Ovis aries: one gene and its partner. The protein of the gene in region 2 interacts with the protein of the main gene of each other region in a biochemical or structural test. Links are inferred from orthologs where the notes say so. Each region holds a gene or a part of one and is shown on either strand. Other genes may lie near its edges. The genes, in order: CNTNAP4 and APBA1.

What was found.
Region 1: the proteins of APBA1 (region 2) and CNTNAP4 form a complex in vitro, tested with the Homo sapiens proteins (2 studies listed by BioGRID and IntAct, with this or other methods). The link is inferred for Ovis aries from reciprocal best matches to the Homo sapiens genes APBA1 and CNTNAP4.

The regions. Positions count from the first base shown.
Region 1 is NC_056067.1:3,161,396-3,168,727, reverse strand, and holds part of CNTNAP4 (contactin-associated protein-like 4), read right to left. Parts: intron 6,736-7,332; coding exon 6,511-6,735; intron 5,020-6,510; coding exon 4,886-5,019; intron 4,052-4,885; coding exon 3,964-4,051; intron 1-3,963. UniProt on the Homo sapiens protein: Presynaptic protein involved in both dopaminergic synaptic transmission and GABAergic system, thereby participating in the structural maturation of inhibitory interneuron synapses.
Region 2 is NC_056055.1:67,169,040-67,176,371, forward strand, and holds part of APBA1 (amyloid-beta A4 precursor protein-binding family A member 1), read left to right. Parts: intron 1-2,334; 5' UTR 2,335-2,403; coding exon 2,404-3,591; intron 3,592-7,332. UniProt on the Homo sapiens protein: Putative function in synaptic vesicle exocytosis by binding to Munc18-1, an essential component of the synaptic vesicle exocytotic machinery. May modulate processing of the amyloid-beta precursor protein (APP) and hence formation of APP-beta.

The DNA of each region.
Region 1 (7,332 bases), on a different chromosome or scaffold from region 2:
TGTCTACCTTATCATTTGCTCTGTAATTAAAATCAGATCAAACATTTCAACATCATGAGTGTTCTTTGCTTTTAGAATATGACACTTCTGATCAATGCTCGTGTATCATGATGAGGAGAAAGGCTATTTTTAAGTTTCTAGGTGTGGCCAATTCAAAATGATATAGCTGTATCTGGAAATGACTGGAGCCATGATAAGGATGAAGTCATGCCAGGTACTGAAGATGGTCTATATTATAATTATCAAAATACTAAAAAATCAACCATACCAAAAAAAAAGTGATGTTAAAGTAGACTTTTTATTTTTTTGCTCCAAATGGTACTTCTCTTTTAAAATAAACCCTCCATTATCTTAAGAGATGTTTCCCAATATATTTACACAATTGCAGTGCCCTTAGCTTACTTGGCTCATGTATTTTCCTCACCTCTGGGCTCTGAAGTGAGTTTTACATAAAGGATTCCTGACACATTGAGATTGTTCTCAAGATCTTCATCAGGGTAAGTGGATGTCCGATCTTGGCTGACTACAGACTTTATTTACATCTGGCCTAAATCCCACCACAGTGATCCAAGAGCACTTCCTGGCTCTGCGGCCTCGGTAGAGGGAAATGATCTTTAATGGCCATCAATCACCTCCAATATACAAAAGCTCAGGATGAGTGCAAATAATCATCCAGTTGTTACTCAAATAAATCATAAATCTATCCTAACATATTAAAGTATTCAGACTTAGAATCAAGAGCTTCACTTTATAGTGAATTCTGAATATGAAAACCAAATGTAATGTACTTTATTGAATATAGGAGTATCTGAATTCAGCTGCTTTGGCAAAGAGCTTGATCTTCCCATCCAGCTCCCAACTACTAATGACTATTATGGCCAAAGTTACTGCATCCTCAAATATTTTAAGTGTAGTAGAAAGTTAGAGATGGTTTTCATGTCAGATTGATATGATTTCTAAAATTTACCCTCCTTTCAACATCTGCTAGTCATACTGATTAATAGTGACAATGATCCAAAATTATTCCCATGATTCTTCCTAAGTGTAAGGAATGAGTATGGAAAACAGGGGAAGAATGCCCTTTATTTTTGGGGTCCATCTGAAATGGCAGTGGATGGTCATATCCTTGAGTGTTTGTTTGAAAATGTAGGCAAATGACAACTCTAAAATGTTTATTTTCTGCTCCCTTAAAAGAAATATTCAGATATTATAAAATGATATAAGTATTTTACTATTTTTCTTAGCTGCACCACGCAGCTTTCAAGATCTCAGGTCCCTGGCAGAGACTGAACCCAGGGCCATGGAGGTGAAAGATCCGAGTCCCAGCCACTGGGCCACCGGGGGGGGGGGGGGGGTCCCACGGTATGCTAACTTACTTTACTTTGGAGGGTAATTTGGAGCTATTTTATCCCAAGCAACATAGGGCATACTACACTCAATTAGATACATAGGAACATCGTGTATTATGATTATCTGTATGCCCACTAACCATAAATTCTGTGTGGGCAGATGCAACGTCTGCCTTGCTGAGTGGCACTCCCTGTGTTCACAGCAGGTGATACAGTGTATGTGCTAAATAAATAAGGGAACCAAATGGGCTTATAAAAATGAAAACCACAGTTGGTTAGCATGAGGCCAGGAGAATGTGCCTTGCAGACCTCTAACTGGGTGAGAGGAATCGACTGAGGGCCCCAGGTGCTGGGCTCTGAAACTCATCCTCAGGCTTGGGCCAGGGCCTTGCTTCCCACGGCTGTTCCCAGGCAAGAGCTGTCCACAGCAGGGACTCTAAGGCACACCCACCCTCTGGTGACACGAGGCTCCTCTGGTGGCCAAAAGACTTGGCTCCCCACAAAGCTGAAGTCAAGGATGCTTCTAACTGTCCCTCCCTCTCTCCTTCACTGGAAGGCAGGCTTGCATGCAGTCTTGATAGGCTCTCTCCTCACGTTCTCTTTCATAAGTGTCCCCTTGATAAAACCCTCAAGTGGCTAATTTTGTCTTGACAAAATTAAAATTAAAACAGCTTCTTGGAGGGACTGAGACTAACATAGAAACCTCAAGATTGACCAACTCTCTGGAAAACGAATAGCTCCATTTTAGCGTCTATTTTTACCATAAATTAACGTAGCATGTTAAAATGTAATAATATACTACATAACATTTTGTTATAAATGCATGCATATACCATACCATATGACCATAAATTATTAGTCTCCTTTGAATTACACATGATTTGAATGCAATGTTAGTCTTTGGTCAAGATTCACACCTAAGGATCAATAAATTCATACTTCCATTTTTAGGAGAATGAATTGATTCAGCCTCTAAAGTTCACTGCTGAACTTGGACTTTAATCTTGTTTTTCAGCATGAGTGATGTGAGTTTTAATAATACGCTATTCTTGAGTAAAAACATTAACATCTTTAATTCCTTACTAATCTACAATATTCATTATAAAAAGGGAAACAAGTATCTATATGATGAATGTTATTATTCTACTGTTTGATTAATACAATCTTCCTCATAGAATGCAGGTCAGTTTCCCAATTGTTTTATAATAAATTTAACATATTTATATTCACACAAAGTATTTTCATCAGCAAATCTGGCATTAAGTTTGAAGATGCTATTTCTTCAAAAATATGGTTTATCAACATTAATCATAGTTGTCAGAATTTTTAATCTTTTAATTTTACATTTTTTATAAAATGCCTCAACTCAGGCCCTGCTAGACTGAGGAACTCTTGAAATTGAAATTTACTATAATTATTTGATATTTTTTATTACTGTAGTTCAATTTATGTGATTTATGCTATGAAACCACTTGGGATTTTCCAGTTAAGCTTCCAGATAGCTAAGTAGTAGTTTACACATATATTTCATGTCCATCCTAGCATACTAGAAGAACAATTCAATTCAATTTCCTTTATTTGTTTGGAGAACAAGAGCATACAACATTGGCACTTCTCACAATGCTAGAAAGACTATAAATATTTGTAAACTTAAGTATTAACCTTCTCAGAGCCAATATCTTGATCATTCACCCACAGGTTTAATCAAGCATTCTCAAGATTCTAACATTACGTACAGGGAATGTAAGAAATGATATATCAAGGTACAAGTACCGGAAAAGGTCAAAAAATAAAATATTTCATTTACTATCTTTGACAAAATATTCCAGGTTAATGTCAAATATCAAACTAGGAATGAAAACCAGACTACAGGAAGTCCTCCAACCTCACATTTATATCTAAAAAGAAAATCTCTTAAAATTTATTGTCCCTCTTTCCATTTAGTCTTTGTTGGCAAGTATTTAAAAAGCACACGTTTTGATTCTAAAATGGCAAGAGTATGTTTCTATTTCCATGCTATTATCAGAGATAACTGGTGGATAGAAATAAGAATTATAAGGCATTTAGACAGACACTGGGTTATATTATAAGTCAGGAGGAGTGGCTGGCCACTGCCTTCAACAAAGCAGAAAGGATCCAGGCCACAACCTGAAGCATATTCACTAACCAGAAGAATGGCAGTTGCTTTCTCCTCCATATTCTTCTGACCTAATCCTAGCGCTATCATTAGATTACAGTTTATATGTTTTGCAGCTGATTGATATATGGTGTGTTATTTATACCTTTATTATTTGATATTTTGGAAGTGTGAGAGTGAGACCATGTTTCATTATGCTGGACTGACATAGGGCGGACACCAGCATGGTGTTACTATTCAAGGAGGATGCTTGCTCATCTTACAAAATGTCCCAGCTCACAATTACACACACTGAGAAAGTACAGTTTCTGCCTTGATTATCATTCACTTCACAACTGAAATAAGGCAAGCGGTTTCTTTTGGCATGATGAGTTTGTGTGGTGTGTGTGTGTGTGTGTGTGTGTGCATCTGGAACATGACTCTCCTGGTCCATGTTCATGCATCATGATTAGGCAAAAGGCCATTCCTCGTACTTACCTATAATCCTGCCCAGTACAAGGGATCTGACTGCACTGAGCTCTGTGCCTGACGCCAGGTGGACCTGCCTCCTCACGCTCTCATCAAGCTACAGAATTGTTACATGAGAGGCAAATATCCACACAGATGGTGTCATTGAGAAGAGGACAGGAGCAAAGGAAGACAAAAGAAAATGATAAAATAGGGAATTGTTAATATGGCCCCAAAGATTAGAAAAACAGAGTTTAAAGTCAGTCATTTATATAGGCGAATGTTATTTTCTAAATTACTTCTATGTACCCTCAGATACCAGTGTACGCTACCTTCTATCCCCTTATATAACTTTATTTTTCTCCACTGTATAAGAAATTCAAATGGAGAAAACCCACAAAAAGATACAAGTTATCTTCACCTTGATATTTTTACGTAGCTGGGTATTTTCACTTGAGTCATTTAGCTAAGAAAGTTTCCTCTATCTAGAGGGCTGAAACATATGTGCTTTTCTTCAAAAGCTGGTAGAGTGAATAATTCAACTTTCTCTGCTATAATTCACATCGTTTTAAAATTCATTCTGAAATTGTGATCATTAATTTCTGTGCAAGAAATATGGCTGCACGTACAGCCATCTGAAGTAAACTGGTTTCATTAGAGTAGCAACAGTTCTGCCAATAGTAGATTACGCTCAACTAAAAAGCACTTCCCACCTGAGCAAAGTAAAACAAATAGGAAAGTTTGGCAATTTTAAGTATCAAATACTATTAATCTCTTAAACAGAATCCTATTGCTACAAAAACTGAACACATTTGATGGTCTATGATCTGTGTAAGGGCGGCACTGGAAGAATGACTTTATTTAATCTATGCATTATCCAGCTTCTGCTGCAGGTCCGTCATGCTGGGGAGTTTACTTGTAACCACTGCTTCTGTCGTATTTTCTCTATTACCTCCACAAAGACCACTGCTTCTTCTCTGTTAATCTTTACGTGGTGAAGCTCCCCATCGGCCATGTTTTTGAAATCAAAGTTAACAACATCGGGTTCTTGATATCTATTTAGCTTGTACCTGATCTGCAAACTTCCTAAAGTTAGAGGGGAAAAGTTATAGTTTAGTTAAAATTGTATTTTTTTAAACTCCTTTAAAAAACCCTCAGAGTCCTTTTTTGTTACTTACCAGTTCCTGGGAAAGAATTCACAACAGTTTATTTGGCTGTACACTTTCATCATAATTCCTAGAAGTCAGTTTCCATGTGAAATTGCACTATTTTCCCAAAATTAAGAGCAAATATGCTGCAAATAAGCAGGCTCTTTCTTGCAAATATTTGATTTGTCAAATATGTAATTAAGCATATGTAAATCTTTGTACTAGCCTCTGACTTAAAATAATAAGGTTTAATATATTATGAAATGTCAAACTACTGTGGAATATTGCAGTAACTTTCTGTTTCTGTAATTCATCTTTCAAAAATTATGCCTACCATTCCTGAAATGCAACTGATGAATGGAATTATTATTATCAAATACAGTTTTACTAAAGATAAGGAATTTTTTTCAAGTGGTCATGGTTATAGAGTTTGGAATGAAATTAGGGTGAGATGAATAGTTTTACCAAACTTACTGTTAGAGTTAATACTACTCATGTTTTAATTGCCTGCAAAGATGTCAGTAAATCTACTTCACAGGATATCTTTCAGTCTAACAAATATATGTAGAAAAACTTCAAGCTCAAAACATATACTGTGAGGAGGAATATACTTATTGAACAATATTTTTTAAAATTTGGTGTTCAGTGCCCTTGGGCCATATTTGATTTAGTTGAAATGATATAGCTGCATGTTTGCATGTCCCTTTGTTTTCCTCATTTTAGTCATAAAATTTTTTATCTCTAACCCAGATAAAGGGACGAGAACAACAATAGTAAGTGGGTGTCTGTAGCACACACGTCCCAAACCACACACCATTATCCTGCACTGGCGCATTAGCATTACCCACGACCACCGTATTGCCGAAAATCAGAACCAAGGGGTTATTTTATGGACAGCTTCTTATACATAATGCTAATTGGCTAACATTCGCTCAAAACTTCTCTACTTTGATTTGAAGGAAATATTTGTTATGTACAAACAGGCATTTTATTTCAAAATGAACCAAAAATTGGTACTAACAAACACACGGAACAGTAAAGATTTTCTAGCAATAATAAAATTTTATAACAATAATTTAAAATATATTTATATATTTATGTAAATATATTTATATATTTAAATATATAATATATAAAATTTGTATATTTATATAAAATATTTATAATAAATATTTTATCTACGTAAATTAAAAATTCACACAGAATATGTTACATTACCAAAGCTATAAGGCTATAAAGACATTTGAAGTATTTTAAATAATCCTTTTAAATTTACAGGACAGCACTGAAAAAACAAAACTGAATAAATCAAACAGGCACATTTATTTTTTTCCTGTTTGTAGTTCGAGAAGCAAGAACATGAGAAATATCCATATTATTATGGATCTAATGCTCTGATACTATTTTCTCTCATTTGAACAGCACTCACCATTTTTGGCGATGATAACTGAAAGGTACTCTTTATAAAAGGAACTCAGATAGAGCAGCAGGCTTGGCGTCCGTGTTGTGCGGAAGCTAAACTTGATCGTTTCCCTGCTCAGCCTGGTGTCACCATGAAACGAAGCCGCGTGGGAGCTGGAATTCTTACTTAAGGAGTAATTTTCTTGAAAATTGTAAATCACGGATGAGCCAGATCCAAAATAGGCAGAAATCTCTGAAATTATAAGCACATTTTATGTTAAAAAAATTGAAGACCAAGGATTGTTCAGTGGTCTCAGTTATGATACTTTTCAAATTAAAAAAAATCCAAATTTTAAAAAATCATTTTACTTACATAAATGATTTTAATACTTAGGATTTATTCATTTAGGATTAGTATTTATTTAGGATTAATATCCTAAATTCATACACACACACACATACACCCAAATATAGTTATATAAAAATGAAGAGGATGATGGAAAGGGCAACTAGTTTGGGATTCCCGAACTCTTCCCTTCCTCACTATACAGGGCGGTGGTTGAATGCGAACTGCAGGTGCTGCGCAAGGATGCACATCTCCACTCAGCGCTTTAGGCGTTTTGTCTGTTTGTTTGATTTTTACTATCTATAGTATTCGTTTTAAATCCTATATACTATGTGGGTACAGAATAACATTTCTGGTTACACTTTGCAAGATGACCTGGAAATCGTTTAGATTCAGAAAATGAAGACATGCTCTTGTAAAGACACGGTCTTAGTTCTAACTTTAAACAGGAGAATTATAGAAAGGCAGAAGCAGTGGTTGATTACCCAAGGTTGATTTTAAACG
Region 2 (7,332 bases):
CATTGTCTGTGGATCAATCAGTGCTCTATAAGACAGCACTATTTCCTGGTCAGACATGATTTTAACCCAGAATAAACTAAAATCTCTTTTTGATACATATATCAATAGATTTTCATCAGGCTAGAAAAGAAAGTGCCATTTTCACTGAAAGTGGGGTTTTGGTCAGTTCTGCACATGGTTATTATGAATTGCTGGCCTGCTCATGTGTTTTGGATGGTGGTCACTGCATCTCTAACTACACACAGCTGACACACTGCAGGGTAACAGTACCCAGGGAAGTATCTGGCATGTTTCGCATCCCTCCATTATGAACGCTTGCTTTGTTCTCAGCAGACTTAGATTTCAACGTGAGTGTGGTTTTTATCTGTTGTCTTTTCCAGAGAGTCCTTATAAGGAAAACTTGGATAGACTGTTCTTGTCCATGCCTTGAATGGAATTGAATATTTGTTTTGTATATTTCATGCACCACTGGAGGCATGAAACCTGGGCACTGTCAGCACCAATATTTGCCTCTTCTGTGCATTAACCATCCATTTGGTCTGAACAGAAATACGTACTTAGAAAACTTTCCTATACCTTGTCCACAGTCACCATTCTCAGGGGTTAAATAAGAGGAAGCCACAATTTTTCAAAGAAGAATTGGTCTAATTTGTGTGAAGTGGGATTCTTGTCAAGGAGGAGAGCAGTAAGGACTGATCATCTCTGCTAAACCATAATTGTTTTCTAGTGAGTGTTAGTCAGTCAGGGATGGATCCATCAAAGAAGGGGGTAAAGATGGTAACTACTGCTTTAAGATGAACTTGGCAGCTCCAAAATGGCCTCCTTTACTACTGGGGCTATTATAGTGCTTGAAGGAAATTGCGATCCTTACGGTGGGCGTTGAGTAGAATATAATGCATCCTAATATTAGAGAGTCCATTAGATGTCCCTGGTCCTCCTGGAGCTTTCTGCTCTTACATTAAAGAGTTCATTTCCCAATTTTGTCCTTTTGTAAAATGAGCCCCCCAAAAGGACACTAAGGAAAGTTTACACACATTGAACCCATTTACCACAACTGCATTAAAATCATGGGGATCCTGCCTGTTTTTGTTGCTCTTTCCATCCCCTGCAATTATTCCCATACACTGTATGCAGATTATGCTATAAAGCTATTTTGGATAAAAAGAAACCAAAATACTAAATTTACCAAATACCAAATTTGAGAGTGGTTGAAACCAAAGCCACCTCTGCAGTCACAAGTCCCGCTGGAAACAAGGAAAGAGACTTACCCGTGTTTTAAAGAAGTTAGCATGTTATAAAGTGTCAGCTATAATGCTAACTTACAGAATCGAAGAATTTTAGATCCAGGGTGTATGAGGGAGCGACTATTAGAAATTAGAATATTAGTGTTTTAAGTGCAGTCGTCAGAACTCTGGCCTCTAGGGAAAAGGTGTTTCCCAGTCAGACAAGTTGGGTAACCCCTGCACCCTGCATCTTCCTCTCCTTGCATATTCACAAGGAAAGTCAACTTAAGTCAGCATCTCCCAAACTACTTGAGCAGGGAGCCTTTTTACTCTGCATAGTAGCTGTTAACATCCTGCCGCAGGAAATGAGTCCAGTCTCATGGTGGAGATTCAGAAAATTAAACCACTTAACGGTAGTTGACAGAGCCAGTAATGCCAGGATGAGAACCCACTGATGGCTGAAGCCTCCCTCAGAATGGCTGCATATTTGTACTGACAGCAATGGATTCAAAACATCCCAAGGCTTTTTTCCTCCTTGAAATACTCCTTCTCCCTGGCCCCTGCAGCATGCAGGATCCTAGATCCCCCACCAGGGATTGAATCCTTTCCCCCTGCAGTGAAAGCACGGAGTCCTAACCACGGGATCACCAGGAAAGTCCTTTTTTCCCTTGAAATTTATTTTAAAAAATAGTTTCTAAAGTATCAAGGATCCTAGTTTAATTTAGAGAGATTTATCCCTTAGCAGATGGAAAATGTGTCAATTGGCTCATTCAATTTGGTAGTACTCTCTATTCATATGCATCAGAAACAGAACCTGAATAGTAAGCGCGGTGGGGAACTTAAAGGCTCAGAAGGCTGTCGGTCTGAGGGGTGGGGAAGAGAGAAAGCCAGTAAGCAATGAAACAAGGAGACATGTAATTACAAATTACAACACGTGCTACGAAGATGATGAACTATGTGCTGTCAGCTTGAGCCTAAATTTGCAATCACTTTTTAATTGACCGCGATTCAGACGAGATCAATAACAGCTGTTTTTATGATTATCTTGGTACTCGGCTTCTGCCTACAGTCTGAATCACGTAATAGCCCCTCCCCCTTCTTGTTTTTCCAGCCGGGTGGAGCAAAATGAGAGCGCAGTGAGCCGGCCCAGCCTCTCTCCCAGCCGTCCCCGACGCCCACCATGAACCACTTGGAGGGGGCCGCGGAGGTGGAGGTGACGGACGAGGCGGCAGGCGGGGAGGTGAACGAGTCGGTGGAGGCCGACCTGGAGCACCCCGAAGTGGAGGAGGAGCAGCAGCAGCAGCACTATGCGGGTCGCCCCCGGCGCCGGCGCGCCGTCGAAGACCCTCGCGCCCAGCCTGGGCAGCAGCAGCAGCAGGAAGAAGAGGAGCGTGGGGAGTGCCTGGCGCGCTCGGCCAGCACGGAGAGCGGCTTCCACAACCACACGGACACGGCCGAGGGCGACGTGATCGCCGCGGCCCGCGACGGCTACGACGCCGAGCGCGCGCAGGACCCCGACGACGAGAGCGCGTACGCTGTGCAGTACCGGCCCGAGGCCGAGGAGTACACTGAACAGGCGGAGGCCGAGCACGCCGAGGCCACGCACCGACGCGCGCTGCCCAACCACCTGCACTTCCACTCGCTGGAGCACGAGGAGGCCATGAACGCGGCCTACTCGGGCTACGTCTACACGCACCGGCTTTTCCACCGCGGCGAGGACGAACCCTACGCCGAGCCCTACGCCGACTACGGGGGCCTCCAGGAGCACGTGTACGAGGAGATTGGGGACGCGCCCGAGCTGGACGCGCGCGACGGTCTGCGGCTGTACGAGCAGGAGCGCGACGAGGCGGCCGCCTACCGCCAGGAGGCTCTGGGCGCGCGGCTGCACCACTATGACGAGCGCTCCGACGGCGAGTCCGACAGCCCGGAGAAGGAGGCCGAGTTCGCGCCCTACCCGCGCATGGACAGCTATGAGCAGGAGGAGGACATCGACCAGATCGTGGCCGAGGTCAAGCAGAGCATGAGTTCGCAGAGCCTCGACAAGGCGGCCGAGGACATGCCCGAGGCGGAGCAGGACCTGGAGCGCGCCCCCACCCCGGGCGGGGGCCGCCCCGACAGCCCCGGGCTGCAAGCGCCGGCGGGGCAGCAGCGGGCCCCCGGCGGCGAGGCGGTGCAGCGATACAGCAAGGAGAAGAGGGATGCTATCTCGTTGGCCATCAAGGACATCAAGGAGGCCATCGAGGAGGTGAAAACCAGGACCATCCGTTCGCCTTACACCCCCGACGAGCCCAAAGAGCCCATCTGGGTCATGCGCCAGGACATTAGTCCCACCAGGGATTGTGACGACCAGAGGCCGGTGGATGGCGATGTAAGTGTGTGCGGGTTCGGGCTCGCTCAGCTCTACGCGCGGCCAGGTGGGGAGACGGGCGCTGGGTGGCATCATTTGTCATTAGAAATGACTTGATGACGGAAATGATCTCTGGGCATGCTCAGAAAGAGCTTGTGCTTAAGAGCCGGTGAGCGAAAACCAGGTGCGAAGGAGTTAAGTGCTGAGAGGTTGCGATAAATCAATGGTTCTCAAACTGTTACTGGAGCACTTGTTCAGAAATTGATTTCCAGACGCACCTCTTTCCATCACCTAGTTTCACACTTAGATTTGGGGCAGGGCCTGCGAATATTTATTTCTAACGTTAAATAAAAAACAAGTCTGGATTGAGGAAGGAGAGACTTCATTGGGAAGGTACTGTTGTAACAAGAACTCTTGCAGTAGCAGAACTGTGGGATCTGCAAGGGTTTCTGCTGCTGCTGAGTCGCTTCAGTCGTGTCCGACTCTGTGCGACCCCATAGATGGCCCCCTACCAGGCTCCTCTGTCCCTGGGATTCTCCAGGCAAAAACACTGGAGTGGGTTGCCATTTCCTTGTCCAATGCATGAAAGTGAAAAGTGAAAGTGAAGTCGCTCAGTCGTGTCCGACTCTTTGCGACCTCATGGACTGCAGCCTAGGGTTAGGCAGAAGAGGATTCTTTCGTAGGTAGGAGTAAGCAAGGCCTGAAAGGACAAGATGTGAGGAAGTGGGATGAAGCATGGCTTGAAGTACTGCCCTTGATAGTGTTTTAATCTGAGAACAGCATTGTCCCAGGAGGGTTTGGTGAGGAGGGGCGGTAAACTGGCAAAAGTTCAGGTACCTGGAAGAAGGTGAGAAGCTTAATCAAAGGTTGGTTAATAAGCATTCTGTTTTGACTAATCAGTTCAGCTAATCATTTCTCAGGCAGAGAATGGGAATTTGAGGGGTCTGTGTCTGGCCTTGTCATAGGTAAACAAAGGGGCACCTGTGAGTTACTCAAGTCTTACCAGAAAGAGGTTCTTTGCATAAGGCATATTCACAAATGAAATGGGAGGATAGGGGTCTTTAACCTTTGCTGTTTTCTGGGATCTCAGGGCTCACGTTAAGTTCAGCATTGTCACTTATAAGTTGGTAGGTGATGCTGATGGCTGCTGGTCCCAGGACCACAATTTGAGAACCACTGTCTTAAATCAACCCCTTAAAGGTTTAGGATGAATAGTGGCCTTTTTAGAGGAAATCAAGGAGATTCTTCTGGGCCCTTTCCAGCCAAAGGATGTCTACAGTTTGTTTCCTTTTTTTTTTCCCCTTCTTTGTGACTTAGTTTTCATTTCTGGTGGTACCAGAAGGAGCTTCTCACGTCACGAAAGACATGCTTTTGAACTGAAATTACTTTCTTGTGAAGAGCTACGGAAAGCTGTTGCTGCCTCATCGGCCTTTCACTTTCCATTTTTGAAATAACCAAGAAATTTGATAACTCGGCAAGCTTGGGTGTCACAGTCTACTCAGAAATAAATCAAGAAGGCTAACCTTTGCCCCCACTACCTGACTCTGAAGATTCTTTCTCCTCTGACTCTCAATTTTCCATTCTCTTGAATAATTTTTAAGCACTTTCATTTAAAATGGGAGCTTGGAGTAAAAGAAGGGTCAAGAGGTTAAATTTGGTTTCATTTAATTCTGTATTTTATGACTGCACCTATCTATTTCTGAGTATTTCTTTTGGAGTGAGAAACCATTATTGGAAGCTGTTTGTTCATTTTACTTTTAGGTAAAAGGCTGTGCAGGTCAGAGATGTCATTTGCCTCCTCTTTTAGTAACAGTCAACATTGGCTGTTAGCTGATTAAATCACAGGCACCTTTAAATCTTGGGCTTCCCTGGTGGCTCAGATGGTAAAGAATGTGCCTACCATGCATGAGAGCCAGGTTCGATTCCCAGATCAGGAATATCCCCACTCTGGTGTTCTTGCCTGGAGCATTCCATGGCCATAGGAGTCCATGGGGTTGCAAAGAGGCGGACACGACTGAGCAACTAACACTTAAGTGAAATTTCAACAAAGGCTGTTAGCTGATTCAGTCACCTTTAAGGCAGGGTTGGAACAGGCTGGAAAAGGATCTGCATCCTCCCCAGCCAGGGGGCGGCATTGGGTCAGTTCAGCCTCCTCAGTGTTTTCCCTCTGTAGTCCACGCTTCACATTCAGTTTAAAACAGGTGTGCTCCTATGCGGGATTCTGAGTGACCTCCAGTCTCTGCGGGTGTCTCCTGGCTTGGAGGGATGAAGTGCAGCTAGCATTTTTGCAGATGTAGTAGAAATGGAGCAGGCTTTTAAAAGCAGGGAGCTGGCAGGAGAACAGGTTCTAAGTCCTTTTAGAAACTTGGAAAGTTGTTGGGAAAAAGCCACAGGAGCATTCGGTACAGATGCTGGCCTCTTCCTTCAGCTTTCTCACCTATACCAGCTCCGTGAAATGACCTGCTGGTCCCTGCATGATGATGATGATGCACCACCTGGTCCCTGCAACCTGATGATGAACCCACCACATACCCTCCACTAGGGCTGGGGGCTTGCTTTTATCCATTTGAACTACTAAAACAACCCTCTTACAAGTTGTTTCATTCAGAAGGTAGAATTGATTTTAGAATAGTTGGTGATGCTTCAGAATCCTGTCTAGTCAGAAATTCAACTTAACACCAAGAAATTGGTGAATAGGGCTTTCTGAGTTATTAATAGTTAATACAAAGCAAACCCAAAACCCTGTGCCTTCAAGTAATCCACCAGTTGTCTTTAAACCGTCTGAATTTGTGGGTTCCATTTCATCTGTCATACCATAGGAAAGCCCTTCATTTGCTACCTCTTTGATATTATTATGGGGGAAATACAAGTGTATACATTCTGTTAGTTTCCACCTCAGCATCAAAAAATATTTACTGAGTGCTCATTTCATGTATGCTGTTGTAGAAAATGGAAAAGCACTATTAAAAGCACTGCGGCCTGAAGTCTTTCTGGAAGGTACTTGTTAAAAATGGCATTACTACCTTCCCTTTCCAAACCAGAATACCTTAGGTGGGGTCCAGTGATCTGTTCTTTGGGTTTGTTTTCCTTGCTTTGTTTTGTTTTGTACATTTTCCCTATGATTCTTGAGTATGTTTAAAAAAAAAAAAAAGAACCACTGATTTAAAAGACAAGTATCATGTGGGTAGTTTTTCCATGTAAGCCCCTGTGGATTAGAGACCTAGCTAAATCTCATATTAACATGGGTGTGGTTTCATGGAATGGTCTCTCCCACTCTGGTTATGGTCAACAGGCCTGGGGAAGGGGCGCTGGAATTCTTGTTACAGGAGCAGTGCATTCTCAAAATAGCATCATCAGAAACCGCAGTGGTGCAAATAGAAAGAAATAAAAACCACCTGTACTGCTACCTGCCAGAGATACCTGCTGATAGCTAAATTTGTTCTTCACACTACTTTTAATTCCCTCAGAACTTTAGCATTTTTCTCTTACTTGGAGGAAACTGACATCTGCTTGCTACTGAATCCTACAGAATGCGAAAATAGAACTGCTCATTAGCAAGGACTTACTGAATACAGACTAGATGCTCAGCAGTGAGTGGAAATAATTGTTTTCTGAAAAAAAGTACTTTATAAATGCTTTGCTTCTAGTAAAGGCTCTTTTCCAGGTATATGTTTGAGAACTACCTTCCAGTCCCCTTCTTGAAAATGTTGTTAATGAACGACTAGTTCCGAAAGTCCCACAGTCTACCCATCTCTCTCTCTA